6 linked regions of the Mus musculus genome follow. The protein of the gene in region 5 purifies or fractionates together with the protein of the main gene of each other region. This does not show direct contact. Links are inferred from orthologs where the notes say so. Each region holds a gene or a part of one and is shown on either strand. Other genes may lie near its edges.

Region 1 (4,201 bases), on a different chromosome or scaffold from region 5:
CTCTTTGCAGGTTGCTCCAGTCACAGAACCTGTACCAGGAACAAGAAGACAGTTTGGTCAGGTCTATGATCAGAACACTTAAGCCCCACCTCTCTGTGCAAGGCAGCCTCAGTCTGTCTTAGCCCATTTCCGTCTTAGCTAGAGCCAAAGCCACTCACCTCCATAAATGATCCGGGTGCTCTGAGCCACCCCATCATTGACATTGGATTTCAGCCATCCCCGGAGCTTCTCGTGTACTTCCTGTGCCTAGAAGGAGGAGGCAGAGCTACTAAGTAAGCTCCTTCCTATCTATCATTCAAGGAGTAAAAACCACTGGTTCTCACATAGAGTTGAGTTTCCAGAAAAGCCCCGGGACCAGAGAGTGGCAAGGCTCCAATCCCACCAGGCTTGGAATGAACATTTTTGGCAAAGTCACTCTCCTTGGTGAGTTTGGGGGCCCTCTGTCTCTAAAGGGGCTTGGATGGGCTCCATAGCTGTGTGAGTCTGTTAAAGCCGGACAGGCTGAGGAGCTCTGGGTAGTTACCTGCTGAGGGGTTGCCGTCTTGCCAGTCCCAATGGCCCACACAGGTTCATAGGCCAGGACCACCTTGCTCCAGTCTTTCACATTATCTGTGGGGCAGAGAGGAGAGTGAGTAGGAAGGAGCTGACCCGCCAAGCTCTCCTGTTATAACAGTTATGGCCTACAGCCCCTGGTGGGCTTCTCCTTCCCCCTTTTAGAAACAACTTGTGCGTGCGTGTGTGCGCGTGCGTGTGTACAAGCTATAGCACACATATGAGGGCAGAGGACAACTTGTAGAAGCTGGATCTTTCCTACCACGTGGCTGTCTTTGGAGGACTCAAACTCAGGGCCTCAGGCTTTACCCACAGACCCTGCTAGCTTTTGAAGGTGGGGTTTGAGCCTTCTGTAGGAACAGTGACAAGAACCATTCAGGTCGCCCTCTTTCCCCGGGGTCAGTATGACTCAGGCAGGCTGTGGGACCTTTGACCTCCCGCCTCCATCCCTGTGGCCTTTGCTAGACTCAGAGAGCCGTGTCTGCAGAGATACCTGCGATGACCTTGGTTTGCTCGAACACGACCTTCTCGGTGATGCCGGCTTCCCTTTCGTCTAGCTTCTCCCCGATGCAGGCGATCACCCCGAGTCCCTCTGCTAGGGCGTGGCTCACTTTCTGGCCAATCAGCTGTTGAAGAACAAATGCTAGGTAGGTAAGATACCCTCTCCCCCAGGATCAAAGCATCCCCTATCTCCCCTCCTGTTTACTGACCTCATCTGATTCTCCAAAGACATGTCTTCTTTCTGAGTGCCCCAGCACGACCCAGGTGGCTCCTAAGTCTTTGATCATGCCAGGGCTAAAACAAACACACACCAAAGTTCGGCAAGAAGCCCTCACGAGGAAGGTTTTCCCTCTACATCCCTCTCTGCCTCCATCTCACCTGATTTCCCCAGTGAAGGCCCCATTGGTCACTTTGTAGCAGTTCTGTGCGGCCACAGCAATTTTGGGATCCAGCTTCTGTCTGGCAAAGTCGATGTAAGCGGTGGGCGGTGCACAAACCACCTCTGAGGACGAGATCAGAGAAAGCCCCTCACTCTTCAGGCTCCCGGTCTTGCATTCACTTTCTTGGTTCTACTTTCCTTCGTTTTTCAGTCCAGAAAGTTGACCTTTGTCCACTACAGAGCCCAGGCTAGGCCTGTAGCAATACCAGAGCCTTCCCAATGCCTCTGATAGGCCACGGCCCTTACCCTGCCCTCTGCTCTTTTAACAGCTGTGGCTCTAATTTCCTCAGGCTATTCTGGGAATGGGCATCTCCTCGACTCAGCATTCTCCAGGGGTAACCCCTTTCTAAAATAGCCCATCCCACATACCCATCCCGGGAAGGATTTTTTAGCATAAGAGGTCCACCGCGGGAGTTTGTATTGGGCTCTTCGGGAAATGGATGATCAGAGAGAATACCCTTTGGCCATTCTCCAGGTTCCCCGATTTAGGTGGGTAGAAGCGGGAAGGATGGAGGGGTAGTGTCGTGAGCAGCAGGGAACTGACTAGCCCACAGAGACCTTGTGTTTTCCTATTTCCAGTCTGAGAAGAGCTGAATTTTTTTTTTTTTTAATTCCCCAACGGCTCAGCATGTTTGGCATCTGCTAGGGGCCTAAGGTGGAAGGCAGGAGTGGCCCATGCTGTGAAGGATAGGGATGTGGAAGCCCCCAGCTCAGAGGCCTAAGCATACGACGGCGCGGGGAGGAGTTTCGGGCTACGTGCAGAGACGCACGGAGCCAGAGGCCGAGGGGGCAGGTAGCTGAGAGCCCGCGCAAGCTCAGCTTCCTCCCTCACAATCTGGGGGACACGTGCCACTTGCTTATCCAACCCGACACTGGTTCTTCTTCTCGACCCTAACCCCTAACTGGTGCAGCTCCGGTCCACTCCCAAGGGCGATCTTCTTTGCACCCTGCCCCCAACCCCAAGAACCCCTTTCGGGCCCCACAAACCCAGTGCAGCATTTAAATGCTTTTCCTCTTCAGCAAGTCTCTGCTGCCGGGACACCAAATGGCTCTTGTCCCCAGGCCACCATCCAGGTCCACTCAGACACTGAGCAGGTGGTGCCACGCCCGACCCTCCACCCCCACGTCCCGCCGCCCCTGCTAAACAGAGAGCTCACCGGTGCCTGCCGGCACGTTGGCTGCGTTCAGGGTGCAGATGAGTTCTCCCAGGCACTTCTTCCTCCCGTTCATCTTCCAGTTGCCCCCAACGAAGAACTTCCTGGTAGGCGCCATTGTACCAGGCTCAAGTCTCTGAAGGTCAGTACAAACGCACGGCTCTCTCCACTGGCCACTTATATAGATGGCTGTGAAGCAGAACTCCTCCTTCTCCCCGCCCTCCGCCATGGTTAGCCCGGCCCCTTGCTGCTCCGCCTTCCCCTCCATCTGCCTCTCCACCTCCCGGTGTTTCGACGTTCTGGCGTTCTAGAGCAATCAATGTTCTAGAGGGTTCAGGGGGCTCAAACGTCCTGCCTCAGTGGCTCGACAGTTGAGATGTTGAACCTCGCGCTCAGGGAAACAAACTTTTTGGGATTTCAGAAGACCAAGGGGCATTTCCTGTGGAGGTGACAGCAGCAGGGCCTTGGACCCTGGGGTTGAGGGCACCTTTCCAACTCCGAAAGCGCCCCATTCCCTCATAGCATAAAGCAAAGTCACGGTTGAGGAGCCCTTCCAGTAATCACAAGGAAGGGGGCCAAGTGTGTCACCAACGTCGCTGGTGATTACGGGGTCCTTGCAGTTGTCAGACCTTGGCCAAATGGAGCAGAGTGGGACACTAGTGTGTGGGGGGCAGGGAGGGAGGCAGGCTGGCTGCAGCCGTGTAAAGGAGTCAGCTGATATCAGTCAGTGTGGACTGCCCACCCTGCCCTAGGTCCTTCATTTGCCCAGCAACAGTGGGGCTAGACCAAGTGCATGGTCAGTTGGGGGGGGGGGGGTGATGCAGCCTCGCTTCTGAATTTTCCCTTTATTTCCCATCCCCCCACCTCAGTTTTCTGAGCATTTCTAGAGCTAGAGAAAAGGAAATTGCCTGGGGGGGGGGGACGGCAAAGGACCCCAGTTGGGCCTCTCTAAACCTTCCCCTTCCAGTAATCCTCCCCAGAACTAGTAAGTCTCCCCCAAAGAACTGAAACCAGTCAGCCCCCGTACTTTTATTCACATCATGTATTTTGGCATTTTTCCAGAGGACCATAAAGACAGACCGGAGGCTGAGGCAGAAGGGCAAAGGGTGTGGGGAGGGTCCTATTTCCCTCAGAGCCTCCTCTGCCCCACCACAAGGGAGCAAACACTTAAGGGGAGGGGAGGCGCAGTCGCTCCCTCCCCTGGAAAGATGCATAAAGCCACATCCACACACACACACAGGTAAGAGCCCGCCCCACATCAGGGGTTGGGCCATCACAGAGAAGCAGAGCACTGTGGATTCAAGGGGCAGGGGAAGGAAGCAACAAGGTCCCACTGTGGACAGGCAGTTGGCCCCTCCTGTCCCATCCCTGCTCTGTCCCCAGAGTCTAATGAGTACCCCTCCTCTTTGTTTGGCCATTCTCCTATGACCTCCAGCTCCTTCCCACTGCTGGGGACAAAAACAAAAAGGGTACAGAGCAGGGGCTGAAGTCCATCCCTCAGCCGTCCCTCATGCCAGATGGTCTGTCCCCTGCTTCAAGTGGAAGGGCTGAGGGC
Region 2 (3,500 bases), on a different chromosome or scaffold from region 5:
ACTTAGCAAAATATAGATAAATAATAAAATGAAGAGCTAAGGTATATGCATGCTCTCTCTCTCTCTCTCTCTCTCTCTCCCTCTCTCTCTCTCTCTCTCTCTCTCATGACTGCTCAGTGCTGAACTGGCAATATCAACATGTCATTCCATGAGGGGCTGTTGTCTTCTGGGAGATCTGAATTTTAAATTATGTTTTTCATTGAACAGCTCTCTAGGATGCAGGTCTTTTTGGAAGTGCTACTAAACTTAGAGTATTTTATCCTTGTAAATAAGAATTTTAGCTATGCAAATGATAGGTCACAAAGACTATTAGACGTGTGTGTAAAGTATTGTAGTTTTGAAAACCCTGGAACAATGTTTTATTGTCCTTGAATTTCAAAGAGTAACATACTAGGAATTTGAAAACACTGAGAAATTTTTTTAAAAAAATTATCATTGATGAATAAATGATCTTAAAAACAAAACTTTTAAAAGACCTTACAGGGATACCACGGCAGTAGCCCACGCAGCTCTATCGGGGTGCTACCGCTGGGTGCCTGGCTGGGCCTGATAATCTCTTGGTGCCCTAAGCGATCTGAGTCCCCCCCACCCTCTGGGTACTGTCTGAGGGCCCAGGTCTCAGCCAAGCCTGGCTCTACGCCAACACAGCCTCTGGGAACTAAAGCCCTTCTCTCTACACTGGCTTGTTCTATTATGTTGAGGTCAGAAAATGATCCTTCACGGGGAATTATTTCAAGCAACTGTAGGGAATAATTAACTCACATCTATGGTTCTAGGCCAGATAAAATGTTCTTAAACATGCACCTCATTCTCTGAGACACATCACCTCAGAGTGAATCACTTCTGGGTGCGGCTACGCCAGCCCTAAAGCTCAATAGCTGTCATCCCAGTGACCCTGGACTGGAGGCTGGGTACTGGAAGGATTGGGGCTCTCCCAGAGACTAACTTTGAAGCCCCCCCTGTCCCCGCAAAGAACTTCCTGCGAACAGTAGGTACTCTCCAGTGTGTAGGGAGAGCAGTCAAGCTTCGTGCAGCTGCCTGTCCTCAGAGGGACCTGGCTGTGGCCACTCTTCTGTGGCGTTGGCCTTCAGGGAAGTGGGATGTCCCTGGCTATGGGCCAGTCCCCTCCAGTTTTCCTCGGAAGCTCTTTGCCCACAGGGTACCTGGGGACTATGGGTGTGCCTTCTGGACACTCCGAGCAAGACCGGAGGATCTAGGTGAGAATTCTCCCTAGTTACTTCATCCTCACGCCTCTCCCATTCACAGGGATGAAAATTATCGAGCTGAAAATTAGCACTCAGCCTCGCTCCCACATGGTGGCCCGGAGGTACTGTTCTGACCAGTGGCTACGCCTAGCAGCCTGTACACTGTGCTTCCGAGACACAACCTGTCCACGGCAGATCACATGGCTGAAATCTGTCCTGAGGGCACTGGGAGTTCTACAAACCGCCACCAGGTTTAGCTGGAATAGCTAAACCTACCTACCAGGCTGTACCCACACACTGCAGTCTCTTTACCCGCCAATGGGAGGTGACCCAAGGACCCCGGAGACCTCTGGAACACAATTTGATCCTCTTCAAATGCAAGGGCAAGGAGTCCAGGCCAAGCTTCTTGGTGCCAGTCAGACATGGGGGTGGGAGGCAGGCTCCTCTGCTACTGCCAGGGTCCAGGCACTGGACTGAGTCTGTGTGGTAGCTCATGTACTCAGAGCAAACCTGGCCTGGAAGCCAGACTCTGGGGTGGCTCCCTCTGTCCTGTAAGTCTCTCATCTGAAAAGGTGCTGCCTGTATCACCAGCTTCGGGGCTTTGAGAGCAGAAGACGGAACGTATTTATCTTACTTAGCCCCAGTCAGGCAAGAAGAGCAGCCAGGGGGCAATGTGGGCCGGCTCAGCCTGAGCCACTGAGGCCCCCCTCTCAACGTTACCAAGTAGGGAGCGGGGGTTACCTGGCTTTGTCAAAGTATTTGCCTGTGTATGCCATCCCGCAAGCAGCTCCCAGGCCCTGGCCCAGGGAGCCAGTGGCCACATCGGTGAAGGCTTGTTTCTGTCACAAGAGAGATCCGGAGTTATTCAAGGGTCCAGTAAAGAGCTGTTTGTTTCCAACTTACATTCCCCTCCCCCACCATGTCAGTCAGGGCAGCATCCGCACCCAGAGCCAGTGAGTGCATCCCTCTCCGCAGAAGAAGGCCCTTCTTATTCAGACAGCAAAACCACTATGGGAGTGGGTTCAGTTCCAAACCCTGTCCCCTAGTGAACTATGTGACGTCAGGCTGGAAACTAAACCTCTCTGAACTTTAATGGCCTTGTGTATAAGCACAGCTTACCACATACAGAAGCTAGAGGTCAGCGATAGAGAAAATATAATAGATGATAGAGAGCATCCGGCCTTAGTGAACACCGACATCGCAGTGTGCCAGCGATGTGCCAGCACGTGCTGGGAGCAATTTGGTACAAACGGCTTCATTGCCTAGGTGCCTCTGTACCCACGGTACCACCTCTTTAAGTCTCTCTAGGGACCTCTCTTCTTGAGTGATAGTACCTACTCATGGCTCAGGGGCTCGTGGGGGGAGGGGGGGGTAAGGGAAGCTCGGGGTTCATCCTTGGTCAGTACAAGAACTTGCCCCGTGCTGGGGAGCACACAACGTGCTCCCATCCCTCACTTTCCCTCCTCATCATAGTTGGCTCCCCTGCCTCATTCCTCTCCCTTGCGCCTAGGACAGGAAGATGAGGCCGGGGTCCAGGAGGCTGCCCGTCAGGGGACTTACCGGGACAGGATGCCCGTCCAAGTCAGAGCTGATCTTCCTCAGGTTCAGCAGCTCGGCCTCGGGTAGGAAGCCAGCTTCAGCCCAGACTGCATATAAAATGGGAGCTGCATGGCCCTGTGGGGGTGGGGAGGATGCACAAGGAGGCGGTCACGGGCAGAGCCGCTGGGATCATTCCTACAGCGCATGGGCAGGGCCGCTGGGTTCATTCCTACAGCGCATGGGCAGAGCTGCTGGGATCATTCCCACCACGCGTGGAGCTTGGGGTCTGGCCGAGCAGGCCAACCAGGATATCCATTTCAGATGAGGAAGCCAGAGAAGAGAAGGCTTCTCCCCTTTCATTCCTCTCCAGATTCTTGGTTTCCAGCCCAAAGTTCCCACAGTCAAAAGTGGGTAGACGCCATGTCAGACAGGTGCAGGGTCACAGCTGTGCAGCCGCGGGAGTCCAGCACTCCAGCAGGCAGCAGCCACCCTAATCCTCGTTTCTGGCATGGAACATACTTGGACGGAGTTTTAAGCCCTACAGCCTGCCCTGGGAAGCGAGAGGCTGTCGAGCCAGGCCAGAGGACAGGTGGATTTGGGGGCAATTGTGGTATGGTCTGTGGCTGTGATTTTTACTAGAAGAGGAAAGGCAGGGTATCTGTACTCCCAAACTGCAGTGGAGTGTCACTCATAAGGAGAGCAAGCCTTGGTCCCCAGGATGCTAGCACAACAGGATTCAGGCAGAAGATAAGAAGG
Region 3 (2,764 bases), on a different chromosome or scaffold from region 5:
GTGGAAAGAACTTGACAAGACCCTTGGAGCTGCCATTCTAATTCTGTTGGGTGTACTTTGCTATATTGCACCACAGCTGGGCCCCGGTTATCTCTGCCATCTCTGGTGCTGGGATAAAATAACCTGGCCAGGGCAGCTTAGGAAAAAAAAAAGGTTTCTTTTCTCAGCAGGAAGCAAGGCAATGAGCTCTCAAAGTCCACCTAGTGATGAACTTCCTGAAGCCAAGATACACTGCCTAAGCCTCCCCAAACAGCACCACCCCCGGGAGCAGAGTCCAGAAGCCTGGGCCTGTGAGGAGCGGACCTCGTTTAGACATTTCTTGTTTTACTTTTGAGATGTTCCATCCCCCTGGAGCTGGAATTGTGGTGTGATTACGGAGATCCAGGGCCTGAGCTCGGGTCCTCTGCAAGAGTGATCTTAAATACCTCAGCCTTCTTTCTAGCCTGACATCTCTCTTTTAAACCATTGCAAGATGACAGTATCCACACAGGGCAGCCCTCTGGAGTGCTAGTGCAAGGCTTTTCCTTTTATTTTCTTAAGCTGCTCACATAAAAGATTCAGTGTTTGATTCAGGGATAGAAAGATTCAATCAATAAAAAGATGGTTTATTTAAAAAAAAAACAGCCTAACAAATCTTAATTTACATGATTTCAGAATCAACATGATCATAGCTGGAATGCTGTAGACGTCTGTCACTTCTATATTTTATTCTCATAGTTACAGTATCCAGTATAGAGAGGTTGTGCAGCTATTCCACGGCTGTAGACAGACAACACAGAGAGATATTTTAGATGGTGGCCTCCTGTCTCATGGCACCTTAGCAAATCCTCCCCCACCTTTGCAATGTTTTAATATTCTAATTTAAGCTATTAACTCCCTTAAGATGGCAGTTATATTGAAATATATCTTCCATGGGCTAGTGACAGTGAATGGAAGAGATCCTAGATCAGGAAGGAAGTGTCTCACCTGACCATTCTGCAGCGGTGCACGGCCAGTCGTTTGTAGGCATTTTCTAGGTCAGTGACAGTTTTAGGGCTCCAGAGTCTCTCACCAACAGCGCTTGCTCGAGGCCTGAATTTTAAAATATGCAGTTTCCAAAGCAGTCTAGACTTTTTTTTTTTCCTTAAGTCAACTGCATAAGGAGATTAGGAGCTCTCTCCTGCTTACATGGAGAATAAAAGCCAAGGCATCCTTCAAGCCAGCTGGCCCCACTTTAATTCCTTACCATAATCTTGGAGTAAGGTTAGTTGCATCCACAAATTCTCCCCACAGGCAAGCTTCTCCACCAATAACAAGTTGTTTCTGCTTCTCAGAGCCTGCATGACGGTGGTTAAGAGAGAGATTAAGCTGTACAACCCTGGTTTCCTTTCCAGAGTCATCCTACATCACTGCTCTGTACCCTCCTGTAGGCAGCAGAGCCTTTACTCCCACCCTGGCTCAGTGCTCTTCCACATAATAGAGGATTGTGGTGAGCCTGGGGCGCAGGTGCTTCTCCTAGGGTCCCCCACATTCAACCCCTCCCTGCATTTCCTATTAGTGGTGTTTGAGAAAATACAAGCTTCATTTCAATGGGTTTACCACTATACTTATTCCTTGGTATTTCATAACAAAACAAGAAAGAGTATTTAAGAACTATTTTTTTATAAATATGTATTTATAAAAATATATTTATATTTATTTATTTATTTTTTGATCCTGAAAATGCTTTCTAGAGAAAGTCATAGTTTCTAGTGGATCAATATTTTTGAAACTTTTAATCATATAATCATTTTCTAAAGACTGAAATACAAAAACTATATAAAATAGAATTGCTAGTAAAGGGACCAAAAGCCTCACTTAGGAGTTACGTGCAACGTAGGTGTCTTTCAAAATTAACGCACTTAGACATCTCAGATACAAAGAGCAACTCCATGAAAACAGGGGCAGAATCTAAGGGCCTGCTATGTATTTCCTTCAGGCTACACGTTGTCGCCCTCAGGACAGTGGACAGTGGAGAAGTATCCAGATTAGATTCAGGAGTGGGAGTTACATGACGCTTGCTTTGCTTACCTTCAAAATTAAGGGGCTCAACTTTGTAGTAGTTTTTCCAGTCTTGCCCATAGCTGATCAGGTCTAAGTACCAAGGAGCAGAAAGGATGGCAGGGAAGCCAGAGCCTGTGACTTGCTTTAGCTCATATGAATAATGCTCACTCTTCCACACTTCGACTACTGTGCCCGGCTGAAGCTGTTAGAGGTACGGATTGCAATCACAGAATTAGGTCCAGTAAATACAATCTTACAGGTTCATGGGCTCATGATTGGTAAACATAAATTTCTAAGATCTTAGAGAAATCATACATCCTTTTTTTCTTGATCAGTGCCATGTGCTATTCACATTAACCTTTAAAGTTGGATATTTAACTTTTGACTATAGCTAATATTTCAGAGATGGGTAAGATTTGCACCTCAAATCTATTTCTACCACAGCAATATTCTACTTAACCTTGAACCATGAGACGTCACCAGCCCCCTAGAAAGGTAACAGTGGCAGCTGGGCTTGTAAGAAATAATTTTGTCAGAAAAAAATACTTCTTAAAAGTATATATTGATTTACCTATTTATTGTGTATATAGCATTCTGCCTGCGTGTAAGCCTGCACTTTAGAAGAGGGCATCAGATCTCATTACAGATGGTTGTGAGTCACCATGTGGTTGCTGGGATATGAACTCAGGACCTCTGGAAGAACAATCAGTGTTCTTAAACCACTGAGCCATCTCTCCAGTCC
Region 4 (4,133 bases), on a different chromosome or scaffold from region 5:
TGGATTTCTGAGTTCGGGGCCAGCCTGGTTTACAGAGTGAGTTCCAGGACAGCCAAGGCTACACAGAGAAACCCAGTCTTGAACCACCCCCTCCCCCGAAATTAAAAAAAAAATAGATAAAATAAAAATTCTTAGCTTGACTTACCTTGTCATCTAGAACTACTTTGGTGCCTCCATATTCTGGGAGAAGAACTTTATCTCCAACTTTCACACTGACAGGCTCAATCTCTCCACTCTGATGAAAACAGTCACTTGTTAGCCAAGAGTCTGCTTGTCTTGTTCATTAGACACACAGTGAACTTTTTGTTTCAGTATGCACACCAGGGGCCTCCTGCCTCAGGTTTGTATTATAGGCATTAACCAGTCACATTAAACTCTGTAACTTTTAAATCACTAAATTAATGAAATGTGCCCAAACCAGTATGTTCTTAGGTACCTAATTAGTGGTTAAGCAATATAATTTACATTAAATATAGATCCCTACAATATAAGAATTGCATAGTTACAATATGAAGGAGACACTCACTAAAACTTCATTTCAGTGGACAACTAAGGCTGGCTAACTTTCTACTGTTAAATATTAACACACCCTGTAGACCAAGTAAAATAAAGCAGCTTGTACCACCAGACGGTAAATGATCATGTATGATTCCTTTCAACAAAAATTCGGCATTACCTTTCTCCGTTTAATATACATTTACTGACTGAATGCCCTTGTTATCTATCAAGAGACTGAAGTGGAATGTCTACTCCCCCTAATACTCTCGCGATTTAGTTAAGTAAAGAACACCCACAGTAGTTCCACCTCCCTTCTCAAGTCTCATGCCAACTAAAACTCAATGGTGTAAGATTAAAACTATTTCAGTGTCTGGGCTCCCCCACCCCTGCCACTTCACCCTTTCTTTTTGGGGAAGGGAGAGGGAGACAGGGTCTATATCAAAATTGACAGGCCATCAATTCCGGATCCTTCTACCTCAGCACTATACCCTTCTCCCAACCTGTGCTTAGAATTAGTTCTGTGCCTTATTAATAAATACCTCCTTCAGCTCTGAAATGGCCGTGGGGGTTTATCTACTTGCGCGATCTTTTTGTCTATTTAAAATTTGAAGAACAGGATATAAAATAGCTACAGAGGTTATTTCATATTGTAAGATTTTGTTTTACTTTTTTGGGACATGGTCTCATCCTGTACCTCCTGCTGGCCTAAAAAGATTCTACAGTCCACCTGCCTTAGGCTCCAAAGAACCTGGGCCACAGGCATGAGCCACCATCAAGGCAGGCACTTTTCAGCCTCTAGAGCTTGGGGCACTGCAGAGTTAGCTCAGTGGGTAAACAGGTAAGTAGACTTGCTATGAAAGTAGGGGAGCCCAAACCAGGATCCTAAAACTAGAGTAAAAAGGCTGTAACCCGCAACATGTTGAGGCCCAGAAACCAGACTAGTCAACACTTTACCCCAAAGGAGTAAGGTGGAGATGCCCCTGCTACACAGCATATAGACATGTGCAAACACGTCACACAAATACCTTTTGCCTTTCTTCAGAAACATAAAATAATTCTAAAACAATATAAAACAGTCATTTTCCTGAATGGGAGGTTCTTTGTGAATTGAAATTTGACTTGAAATTCTTCCCCCCAAAAATGCCATTGTAATTCATTTTTTTAATTACCAAAGGAATTCCCCTCCTTCCACATCACACTGGAATTCAGTACCACTCCAGGGGCACCAGTTTACCTTTCCTTTCCCTCCTGACCCCACAGCCACGACCGTTGCTTGCAACACTTTTCCTTGAGACTTTTCTGGAAGCATAATGCCACCTTTGGTTACAGTTTCGGCAGCACTCCTTTCAACCAATACTCTGTCAAAGAGCGGAAGAAACTTCCTAAAAGCTTGTCCAGCCTGTGGAGAGAAATGTGATCAAACAGAGTGTAAGTTCGAAGTGTCAGAACACGAACAGTTAAGACCACCGCAAGCCTTAACTCTCAACAGGTCAAAACTGACCTGTTCCAAAAAGGACAAGAAAATTCAAGTGTACTTTTAGAATATACTCAGTGTTCCACTCTATATAGGACAAACTGAGTTTCATTTCCCTGTCTGGTGTGTGTGTGTGTGTGGTGGTGGTGGTGGGGGGGGGTCTTCATTACTAATCAGCAATCGCCACCTTGATCTATTCCAAGGTCAAACATTTCTTTAATTTTTTTAAAAATTCGAATAACGGGGGAGTGGCGTCACTTTTCGAGCCTGGATCTTAGTCTTTCTCCAACATAGGACACATCCACTGAAGCCCTGCCAGGGCAGGTGGGCTTCTGCGTGTGCATCGGGTTCCCGCCCCCTGCCCCAGACGCTTTGTCGCACACGTGCGTGCGGCAAAGCCATGGTGGAGAGAGAAATGGCCTCGCTTCTGCAGAGCCATGGGCGGACACCGGACACTGACCAGACCCCGGACCCCTGTCCTATTAGTCCCAAAGCGCACAAGGGTTCGCCGTGGGCCGCAGGCCGAACTGGACCCGCAGGCCTGCCAACCACGAGACACTCACCATGACTCTCGCCTTCGCCGCCACCACCGCAGCTCCGGACTCTGAACTCGGGCCGCTGCTGCAAGGAGAGTCCTGCTGGCCGGCTGGGACACGTGAAAAGGCCGCGCAGCGCGCAGGCGCACTCAGCCCCCCGAGCGTGAGAGGGGGCGGCCACGCCGACGCGCGCGCCGATTGGTGGCGAGGGCTCCGCGCAAGGGGGCCGACGCGGGCGGCCGGAGGCGGAAGAAAAGGGGAGCACTTTCTAGGCTTTTCCAGGCCGGCCGCCGAGGTGAAAGAACGAGCCCCCCTCCCGGAAATGACGCCACTTGACCTTTCACCCACGGGACGCGCGGGGCCTTCCGGAAGGTTCTAGAACGGACCGTGGCCCAGGAACCAGCGTAGGGCGGCGGGAGAGGGCTGAGGCCGCAGAGCTGAGGCGGCTCTGGTACGGAGGGCGGGGCCGCGCGCGCCGCATGCAGATTGCAGGGCCCCGGCGTGGGAGAGAGCGGGGGGCGCGCGCGCGCACACGCGGGGCCGCGGGGCGGGGCGGGGAGGGAGGGGACTCGGGCTCATTGCGGTGCGCGCCCAGAGCTGGGTCCCTCACTCGCCGCAGACGGCCTGCCTCGCCTCGTGCTCTCCTGCCGCCGCCCCGCAGGTACGCGGCCTCGGCGTGCAGGGCGCCCCGGCGCTCGCGGGGGGCTGCTTGCAGCGCGGACCGAGCACGGAGGACTAGGGGGAGAAGTCTGGCAGCGACGCCGCAGGCTCGGCTCACTTGTCCAGGCCCAGCGGGGCCACGCTGGTTTCATCACGTGTGGCGGGGACCACGCGATCCAGGCCGAGCGCCGGAGCAAGGGCGGGCTAGGGTGGAAGCAACTTGGGCCCTCTGGTGCCACCTGCGCCTGGCGCACTGCAGGACTCTGTGGGAGGGTGGTCGGGGTCCTTTAGTCCCCGGTGGCCGCGGCGGTCCGGTGTTCACTTTGACCTTGCTCGGGGCTCCTGGTCGGGAAGACACGTGGGGCCGCGAGGCTGGACTGACCTACTGTCTTTTCCTCCGGCCTTGCTAGCTGCTGTGTTACCGTAGCTTCGGGTGGATACCTGGCGACACACTCAGAGGGTTTTGCACCGTCATGAGTACTTCTGTAGTTCTCTAGGCAATTGCATTTAGAACCTGCCTTGCTTGCACCAACTTGATTTTTTTCCTTTGGACACTTTTCGGAGTGGATCTGCTCCCAAGGCCGCTTTGGCAGTGAAAGATTAACTTGAGAGGGCAGAGTGGGTGGCCATGGGGATGTGGTTTTCTGTGCTTTGTGCTTATGCTGTTGGTCAGGCTTGGGGTCAGCCTCCATGATCAGTTGGCTAGCAGATTATGCCCTGAATCTGCAGCGCCCAGGCATGGTGGTTAGCAGAGGACAGCCCAGCTCCAATCTAGCCTCCCATGTTTTGAAGCACCGTTGGACAAGTTTGTAGTGATTTTTCTTTTTTCCTTCCCCAGAAATGCTTCGACTACCCACAGTCCTTCGCCAGATGAGACCAGTGTCCCGGGCACTGGCTCCTCATCTCACTCGGGCCTATGCCAAAGATGTAAAATTTGGTGCGGACGCTCGAGCCTTAATGCTTCA
Region 5 (4,239 bases):
GGCAGGAGGATCTTAAATTCAAGTTTAGTCCCTATCTCAAAAATTAAAAAAGAACCCCTCTAACCCCAGCAACTGAGAGGCAGAGGCCAGGGAGATCTCTGTGAGTTCAAGGTCAGCCTGTCTGTTCTACACAATGAGTTCCATGAGAGCCAAAGGTACACAGTGTGATATTTTTAAAAAGGTATGTGTGTCTTTTTTTTTTTCAAATTTTTATTATTTTCTTCATTTACATTTCAAATGCTATCTGGGGAGTCCCCTATACCACGCCCCCCTGCTCCCCTCCCCACCCACTCCCACTTCTTGGCCCTGGCATTCCACTGTACTGAGGCATATAAATTTGCAAGACCAAGGGCCTCTCCTCCCAGTGATTGTCGAGTTGGCCATCTTCTGCTACATATGCAGCTAGAAACACGAGCTCCGGAGGTACTGGGTAGTTCATATTGTTGTTCCACCTATAGGGTTGTAGACCCCTTCAGCTCCTTGGGTACTTTCTCTAGCTCCTCCATTAGGGGCCCTGTGTTCCATCCAATAGATGACTGTGAACATCCACTTCTGTATTTGCCAGGCACTGGCAAAGCCTTACACGAGACAGCTATATCAGGGTCCTTTCAGCAAAATCTTGCTGGCATACGCAATAGTGTCTGCATTTGGTGGCTGATTATGGCACGGATCTCCAGGTGGGGCAGTCTCTGGATGGTCCATCCTTTTGTCTCAGCTCCAAACTGTGTCTCTGTAACTCCGTCCATGGGTATTTTGTTCGTTATTTTAAGGAGGAATGAAGTATCCACACGTTGGTCTTCCTTCCTCTTGATTTTCTTGTGTTTTGCGTGTGTGTGTGTGTGTGTGTGTGTGTGTGTGTGTCTTAACTGGCAGAGCACTTGTCTGTCATGCAGGGGGCGGGGTGGGGGGTGGGGACTGTCTAATCTCCAGCTCTAGTAACAAAAATAAAAGAAGTAAAAAATAAGTAAGAAACGGGGGTGTGTCTAGAGATAGAACATGGGCTTTACACATTTTAGACATCATGAGAAAATAAAGCTGGAAATGACACTGGGCATCCATCTTGGCGCATCTCAACTTTCACACTGCAACCGAGGCGCGCTGTGCAAAGTCAGTGACAATCCGCATTTCCAGACACAGTGGGTTCAGACCTTCCAGGCGCGCACGCGGGCCTCGTGTTCTCGGTTTCCGCGGCGACTCGGCCGACGTCACAGTTAGAAGACAATAGCGACTTTCCCCGCTCAGGCTCCTCGGGAACTTTCTCAGTCCGCACGCTCCAGGAGCCGGAGCTACCCTCCGCCCCGCCCCCAGCGTGCCCCGCGGCCAGGGAGCTCCACGAAGGGCGGGCGGAGGCCGCGGGTAGCGATTGGTTCCGTGCCAAGGTGGGCGTGGTCAGACTCAGGCCTATAAAAGCTCCGTGGCGCCAGGGCCTCGTTTTTTTGCGCGGTCCTTTCCTGCGGCGCCTTCCGTCCGTCGGCTTCTCGTCTTGCTCTCTCTGGTCCCTCCGGAGGAGGCCGCCGCGCGTCTCCCGGGGAAGCATGGCGATGAAAGCGGTGTGCGTGCTGAAGGGCGACGGTCCGGTGCAGGGAACCATCCACTTCGAGCAGAAGGCAAGGCCCGGGGCGCGGGGCGCAGGCCGCGGTGACGCGGCGCACCTGTGCGGGAGCACGCCACGCCCCCGCCACGGCCTGAGCCCGCTAAGTGCTGAGTCACCGTGGCCTGGGGCAGGGGCTGGGCGCCGGGAAGCGAGGCCCGGGGCGCCGCGGGGCCTTCCGGGCGGGCGGGGGCCTCCCCGCGCCCCGGAGCGGCTGGGCCTGCCCGGGAGAGCCGGCTTGGCATCCGTTATCCTTCTGGGGCTGCTGCTTTTCCGGTGTCCGTGTCCCACAGGCTCAGAGCCCCGTGGCCACCGGCTGCGATTGTTGTAAGAATATTTGAACCCGGTGGTGCCAGACCGGACTAAGGCCGCAGGACGCGTTTGCGGCACTTTAAAGCAAAGTCCTGGGCTGTTCTGTACTAGGTCAGGGTCGTGTCGCAAGGCGGAAAGAAAGAGATGGCCTTGGACAGCCGTCCCTTGCTTTGCACTCCAGAGAGAGACCCGGCTGTGGGTTTTTTCTACCACAGCGAGTTTCTGAGCACATTTTGGAAAAGTACATAGAGATATTTTCGAAAATACTGTGACCCTGCAAAAACACATGCGTCACAGGGAAGATGTGTGTGGTAAGGTTGTGTCCAGAGCCTTAGGGAGGTTACCGTTGTTGTATTCACCTTAATCCCGAGAGAATATTTGATAAATGAGCGTTATGTGCTCTCTGAAGTGGTGGACATACGTGTGAGAAGGCAGACACCATAGTGAATCCCAAGTGTTTGGTTTACGACGAGAACTGATAACGGCAATTTAGAGTTTTTCGTAACTAGCCTCGTTTCCAGCAGTTTCTTGGCATTGAAATGCGTTTTGTTGTTTTCCTGTGGAAGTTTTTTGTTTTTGTCTTTTTCTCCTCCCCACGTAATTCACTGTGAGAAAGACGAAGTTCGGCTGGGTCTTACCCCTGTGTGTGGGTTTCTGTCATCTTCCACCATGCCATGCCAGAGCAGCTCGCACTATTTTTGTGACGCTGCAAACTACACATCGCTGGTGCCCTTTGTACCCAATGAAACGATAGTTAAGCATTCCAGATTGGCAGTTGTAATCAAAGCTGGTTGATTTAACCTGTTGCCAACTTTTCAGAATCAGATTTTTCTACCCAAAGTTCATATTCCCTTATTCTGTTGCAAAAGTTGGACATTTAAAAAAAAAAAAACCTAAAAAATGATTGTCCTTGCTTGTTGGTCGGTTGCTCTTACATTTTCTCCCTATTGCTACACTTTCTGGAGCAGTACTAATTTGAATTTTGGGTGTTCTTTTCTTTTTTGTTAAGTGGCAAATTTTCTAGATTTGGATAGCTAATGAGATTTTTTTTTTAAGGTAGCTCTGGTTAGACCCAAATGGATCTCCACAGGCAGTAGGACAAAGGCATTTTCTGACCACTAAATAAAAATAGGGGAACTGATAAAATCACTGAATGTGGAGAACAGGGTTCTCGGCAGCCAGTGTTCTGTAAGAGTCAAGTCTGACAGTGCAGTAGCCATCTCTTCCCCAGGCCTGGCATTCAGTAGCCCCTGTTTGTTCCACCTGGTGCTTTCTAAATGCTGTTCAGTCCAGGTGCCTGCACACATGGCATCTGGCAGCAAGTGTTAGGAGAAGTGTGACAGGGAGAGAGAGGCCTAGAGCTGAGCGTCTCCAGAGCCACCCTGTAGGAAGTGGGTCTACTTGGATCTGAACATAGGTTTGATTTTCACTGTTGTGTGTTTTGACTTGAGCTTTTTACTGTGCTTGGTTAGGGTGTAACCCAGCAACAGCCCTGGTGCAGGAGTATTTACACTCAAACTTGATGTCTTCATTTTTGTATTTTTTTAAATCAAGGCAAGCGGTGAACCAGTTGTGTTGTCAGGACAAATTACAGGATTAACTGAAGGCCAGCATGGGTTCCACGTCCATCAGTATGGGGACAATACACAAGGTAGGTCCTAGGCTGGCTAGTGACCAGTGATGGAAAGGAACTGAGTCAGGACCCAATTACTAACCATTTAAAACTATCTCGTTTGTTTTCTTTTTCTTTTAGATAAAGTTAAAATGACCACTTAGGTCAACCTTGGAAAGTAGCCACAAAAGTATTTTATTTAGTATCAAGTATTGCTTGCTTCCTTAAGTGTGGGAAGGTAAAGAAGGTGATTTTTCTTCATTGTAATTATAATTAAGCAGCACCTTGCTTATTCTGGGTGTTTATTGGGTGCTTATTTGGGTGTTTGGAGCTGGGCGTTGAGGATGGATGCATTAGGCAGAGTGTCTAAGGACAACCATGCCTTAGCATGAGAGGCATAGCGGGACAGAAGTGACAAAAACTGAAGATTCAATATAAATGCTTAAGTAAGATTTATTTTCTCTATTTGGGATTAGAATCAAGTCAGTAAAAAGTAGTGGCTTAAATTGCAGTTAGTGAACTTTTACCATATTGGAGTAATGATCTGAATTTGCTTACCGTCATTTAAGAGCCTCATCCATGTTGCGAGAGCCTTTTCCTTTCCTCTCCTTCTCCCCTGCCTTCTTCCCTTCTCCACATAGCCCACGGTGGCCTGGAATTTAGTCTTGTGTGTGCTGTGTTAAAGGCATGTACCATCAACCTGTGTGCTATGTGCCATAATTTG
Region 6 (3,929 bases), on a different chromosome or scaffold from region 5:
TGTATATTTTGCTTTTGAAGGTGTGTGCCACCATGCCATATCCTATTCATTCTACCACTTCTACCATCAGGACATAAGATCCTGGGTTTCTGTTTCTTTTTTTAAGGTTTATTTATTATTAGTAGATAAGTACACTGTAGCTGTCTTCAGACACCCCAAAAGAGGGTGTCAGATCTCATTACGGATGGTTGTGAGCTACCATATGGTTGCTGGGATTTGAACTCAGGACCTTTAGAAGAACAGTCAGTGCTCTTACCCTCTGAGCCATCTCGCCAGCCCAAGATCCTGTCTTTTATTATTATTTTTTTTATTTTATGTGTCTGTGCACCGAGTGTGCTTGGTACCCCAGGATGTGGTGAGCATAGACTTGGGTGATAGGGCTAGAATTTGCTCTTTTGCAAGAACAAGTGCCCTTAACCACTGAGCCAACTCTCCAGTTCATCTTGTATACATGTTTATCTGTGTACCATGTGCACGCCTGGTGCAGGAAGAGGTCAGGAGAGAGCATCAGATTCCCCGAGACTGGAATTATAGATGATTATGAGCCACCATGTAGATGCTAAGAATCCAGCCCCGGTCCTCGGAAAGAGCAGCCAGTGCTTTTACCTGCTGAGCCATCTCTTCAGCCCTGGCATGGGACTTTAATGTTTATCCCACAAAGATGCTGGAGCAGACAATTCATTCATGCTGGGCAGAGCTGAGGCAGCCTTTCCATTTGTGAATACTCACCTTCCCCATGCTCGTCTGTATACTGAAAGGCCTGGACTAGGCGGAGAGCCTCGTCTACAGAGCGTCCCACAGGTAGGTCATTGACTGTGATCTGGCGAAGGACACCCTTGGCATCGATGATAAAGAGACCCCTGAAGACATGAGGGCCCACAGTGAGGATCTGGGAGACCACCTGCTGCCAGAACAGGAAGGGGACACTCCCACACACACCCCCACCAGACACAGTGGTCCCTTTAGCTTTGAGGAGGGGGCTCCTGGAGCTGGGCTGAGGTCCCTGCTGTACCTGTAAGCAATGCCCTCATCATTTTTCAACACGCCGTAATTCTGGGACAAGCTTTTAGTCACGTCAGCAAGCAGAGGGATATTCAGGGGGCCCAAGCCTCCCTCCTTCCGTGGGGTATTGATCCTGAAGGTGAGAGAGACATGGTTGGTGCCTTAGGATGCCCAGGATAGTAGAAGTCTCCCCCATGGGCCTCCAGAGTGATAAGGGCTGGAGTGGGAGTGCTGGAGACAGGAGATAAAGGACTTAAAGCAAGGCCGGGGTGCTCCACCCACCCCACCCAGTGGGATGGCAGTGCAGCTGGGAGGAGAATGGCTCCAGATAAAGCATCCTCTTCAAATGGCTTCACTTGTGCCCGTGGGCTCCAGCAACTTGCAGTAGAGACCCCGTATGAAAGTGATTAGCCAACAGCAGACATGGAGCTCAGAGGCAGGGCACTTGCCTTGCAAGAATGAGCCCTGGAATTATTGACTTCTAGTTCTGAAAGACTTGTGTGTGCGCGCACACAGGGGGATTCTTCCCATCACCATCTAGCTCTGGTATGGAGCACAACCCATCATTATTGAGAATAGCAAAATACAGCAAGGCAGCCTGTCTCCAGAGAACTGAGACTCCTTTGGCAGGTACCTTCCAACAAGGTGCCAAATGCTAATTACTATCATCTTCGTGTGGGCTTGGGTGTCATTGTTTCCATTCTTTATAAGATGAAAAACGGGAAGACACAGTTTGTCCCTATAATTTGGGCGGTCCTTCATCCTCTCTGCACCTCCCACTTCACCACCTACCTCAAGACCCCTGCAACCCTCCTCCTGCAGCCCCTTACCACGCCAGGTGGGTGAACTGAGAGTCCACAGACACTCCCAGCACCTCGCAGCCTAGCTTTCGGAAGTCCTCAGCATGGTCGCTAAAAGCGATGATCTCCGTGGGGCAAACAAAAGTGAAGTCCAGTGGGTAGAAAAAGAGGACCACGTACTTCCCTAGGGAAGAGGAGAACGGAAGGGAAGTCAGTGCTAACTTCTTTCACATGTAGACCCTGACCCCACCTGCTCCCACTCCGCTCAGCCTCACCTCTGTAGTCCGAAAGCTTGATTTCCTTGAAGGCACCATCCACCACCGCTGTGGCCGTGAAGTCAGGAGCCGACTTTCCGATTTGCGCGTTGCCGGAGGCCATGACTGAAATCAGAGACCCACACAAGCTTGGTCTTTAGAGCCTTAGAAGATCCTTTGTCTTGCCTTTCCAAGGTCACTTTTGGTGCTAAGTCTAGATAGTAAAACCGAGAGAGGTGGAAGGAGCGCTCATATTCACCCTCCCAGTATAAAGTCTGCAAGGCCTCTGAATACCCGCCCCCCTAAACAGGGAACGAATGATGGGTCACCGCTGCTACCCAAATTATGGAGTCAGACCGAGTGCGGGTGGAGGGGGAAGTGAGCTCCTAGTTCCAGAATAGGACGGCTAAGCTAAGAGCGATGGACTGCCGAGCTCGGTGATCCAGCCTGCAAGCCAGGGCTCGGGCCTTGGTTTCCCGGGCAAGGACAAAGCGGCCACCATTGAACATGGAAAACAAAGACCTCCAAGCATAGAGGTCGTGATGAGGCCTGCACCACACTAGTGGGGCTCCTCCCATTCGTGTGCATTCTGGGTTTTCATACCTGCGTGAGCAAGAGCCGGACACACGGACGTCCAGACACGGGTAGAGACAGGAAAGAGATCTCAAAACCGAGAGAGCCCTAGGCCGGAGAACCTTTTATGCGTGGCCCAAACCACACCAGGCAGTGCGCGGGGAGGTGGGCGGGACAGCGCCGCGGTCGGATCCATTGCGGCTGCCGGGGGGGTGAGGGGAAGGCGCCGCGTGGCCCGGTCCACACGCTTTCACAAGGGTTGGGTGGGGTGTGCCCTTTCGGACGCCAAGATTGTCTGTGCTGTGGGCTCCTCGCGAGCCTCGGCCACGGGGCGCGTTGGGGTCGGTTGGAATCCGGGCATGGCCCGGAGCCACTTGGCTCCGTTGCTGACTCCCCTAGTGCTCCTAGGTCTGGTGTCCCCTACTCAGATCGACCCAGACTACCAATACTTTGGCCCGCACGGTGAAGGTGATACCTGGGAGCTGCTGACGCTGCAGCGACAAAAGGGTAAACTAGCAGGTGGACGGGAGTTACGCTATGAAAAGGTGTCCTCCCCACCCCAACCCCCGAAGGCCTCACTTGGCCAAGGCCCTACAAACAGACCCTCTCTGGCTGACTTCAGATCCCTGCCCAGCTCAGTGCAGGCTGGGTCTCAAGGAACTGGGCACTTTTTCTCTGAGTGTGATTTCTCGTCTGTGAGTTATTGTTTTGTTTTATTTTGTTCCGTTTCACTTTATTGAAAATTTACAGCCATGCCCCAACCGTACTACCTTTTGTTCTCAACTTCTTGCCCCGCAGCTTCCTTGGTCATCTGATAATTATATTAAACACTGCCTGTCTAATAAACAACCTATTAACATAGTGCTAGAAGGGTGGAGGCAGAGAAAGAAACTGGCCAGTCAGCTTGAGGTGGTAAGAACCAACACAGCTGGAATGACTAGCACAGTTAAAGTCACAGGGACTGTGAGACAGTGAAAAGGGAACAGCAAAAGGCCTAAGGGAAGAATAGGGAAAGGGGATGCCATTTGGCAAAGATCTGCTGAGGAAGGGTGTGGGGCACCAGCCTTTGTGAGTTCATCTACATGAGGAAGTATCAGTGAAGAATTCTGATGAAGGGTTGGGATTGCATTTGGTACTCAGTTGGTGGAGCACTGGCCCAGCATGTCCGAAGTTTTGATCCTTCCCCAGCGCTGCATAATCCACTGTACCCGTACACACCTACAATCCTAGCATTTGGGAGGAGTAGGGACCTGAAATTCAAAGACATCTTTGGCTACCCAAGGACTTGGAGGCCAGCTTG

Evidence for each region.
Region 1: the proteins of Sod1 (region 5) and Tpi1 purify together in Homo sapiens (affinity purification with mass spectrometry; 3 studies listed by BioGRID, with this or other methods). This does not show direct contact. The link is inferred for Mus musculus from reciprocal best matches to the Homo sapiens genes SOD1 and TPI1.
Region 2: the proteins of Sod1 (region 5) and Tkt purify together in Homo sapiens (affinity purification with mass spectrometry; 3 studies listed by BioGRID, with this or other methods). This does not show direct contact. The link is inferred for Mus musculus from reciprocal best matches to the Homo sapiens genes SOD1 and TKT.
Region 3: the proteins of Sod1 (region 5) and Hexb purify together in Homo sapiens (affinity purification with mass spectrometry; 3 studies listed by BioGRID and IntAct, with this or other methods). This does not show direct contact. The link is inferred for Mus musculus from reciprocal best matches to the Homo sapiens genes SOD1 and HEXB.
Region 4: the proteins of Sod1 (region 5) and Hspe1 purify together in Homo sapiens (affinity purification with mass spectrometry; 3 studies listed by BioGRID, with this or other methods). This does not show direct contact. The link is inferred for Mus musculus from reciprocal best matches to the Homo sapiens genes SOD1 and HSPE1.
Region 6: the proteins of Sod1 (region 5) and Prdx2 fractionate together in Homo sapiens (co-fractionation; 3 studies listed by BioGRID, with this or other methods). This does not show direct contact. The link is inferred for Mus musculus from reciprocal best matches to the Homo sapiens genes SOD1 and PRDX2.

Annotation. Positions count from the first base shown.
Region 1 is NC_000072.6:124,811,359-124,815,559, forward strand, and holds the start of Tpi1 (triosephosphate isomerase), read right to left. Parts: upstream 2,801-4,201; 5' UTR 2,765-2,800; coding exon 2,650-2,764; intron 1,556-2,649; coding exon 1,432-1,555; intron 1,348-1,431; coding exon 1,263-1,347; intron 1,179-1,262; coding exon 1,046-1,178; intron 610-1,045; coding exon 524-609; intron 247-523; coding exon 159-246; intron 30-158; coding exon 1-29. UniProt on the Homo sapiens protein: Triosephosphate isomerase is an extremely efficient metabolic enzyme that catalyzes the interconversion between dihydroxyacetone phosphate (DHAP) and D-glyceraldehyde-3-phosphate (G3P) in glycolysis and gluconeogenesis.
Region 2 is NC_000080.6:30,559,131-30,562,630, reverse strand, and holds part of Tkt (transketolase), read right to left. Parts: intron 2,880-3,500; coding exon 2,766-2,879; intron 2,045-2,765; coding exon 1,947-2,044; intron 1-1,946. UniProt on the Homo sapiens protein: Catalyzes the transfer of a two-carbon ketol group from a ketose donor to an aldose acceptor, via a covalent intermediate with the cofactor thiamine pyrophosphate.
Region 3 is NC_000079.6:97,175,831-97,178,594, forward strand, and holds the end of Hexb (beta-hexosaminidase subunit beta precursor), read right to left. Parts: exon of another isoform or gene 2,225-2,764; coding exon 2,050-2,224; exon of another isoform or gene 1,317-2,049; coding exon 1,226-1,316; exon of another isoform or gene 1,072-1,225; coding exon 967-1,071; exon of another isoform or gene 760-966; coding exon 699-759; 3' UTR 501-698; downstream 1-500. UniProt on the Homo sapiens protein: Hydrolyzes the non-reducing end N-acetyl-D-hexosamine and/or sulfated N-acetyl-D-hexosamine of glycoconjugates, such as the oligosaccharide moieties from proteins and neutral glycolipids, or from certain mucopolysaccharides.
Region 4 is NC_000067.6:55,086,815-55,090,947, reverse strand, and holds the start of Hspe1 (10 kDa heat shock protein, mitochondrial), read right to left. Parts: upstream 2,801-4,133; 5' UTR 2,539-2,800; coding exon 2,536-2,538; intron 1,898-2,535; coding exon 1,733-1,897; intron 236-1,732; coding exon 146-235; intron 1-145. Other genes in the region: Hspd1 (60 kDa heat shock protein, mitochondrial), read left to right, coding at 4,009-4,133. UniProt on the Homo sapiens protein: Co-chaperonin implicated in mitochondrial protein import and macromolecular assembly. Together with Hsp60, facilitates the correct folding of imported proteins.
Region 5 is NC_000082.6:90,219,323-90,223,561, forward strand, and holds the start of Sod1 (superoxide dismutase [Cu-Zn]), read left to right. Parts: upstream 1-1,439; 5' UTR 1,440-1,535; coding exon 1,536-1,607; intron 1,608-3,457; coding exon 3,458-3,554; intron 3,555-4,239. UniProt on the Homo sapiens protein: Destroys radicals which are normally produced within the cells and which are toxic to biological systems.
Region 6 is NC_000074.6:84,968,493-84,972,421, reverse strand, and holds the start of Prdx2 (peroxiredoxin-2), read right to left. Parts: upstream 2,801-3,929; 5' UTR 2,660-2,800; intron 2,271-2,659; exon of another isoform or gene 2,183-2,270; 5' UTR 2,181-2,182; coding exon 2,078-2,180; intron 1,987-2,077; coding exon 1,833-1,986; intron 1,136-1,832; coding exon 1,013-1,135; intron 861-1,012; coding exon 730-860; intron 1-729.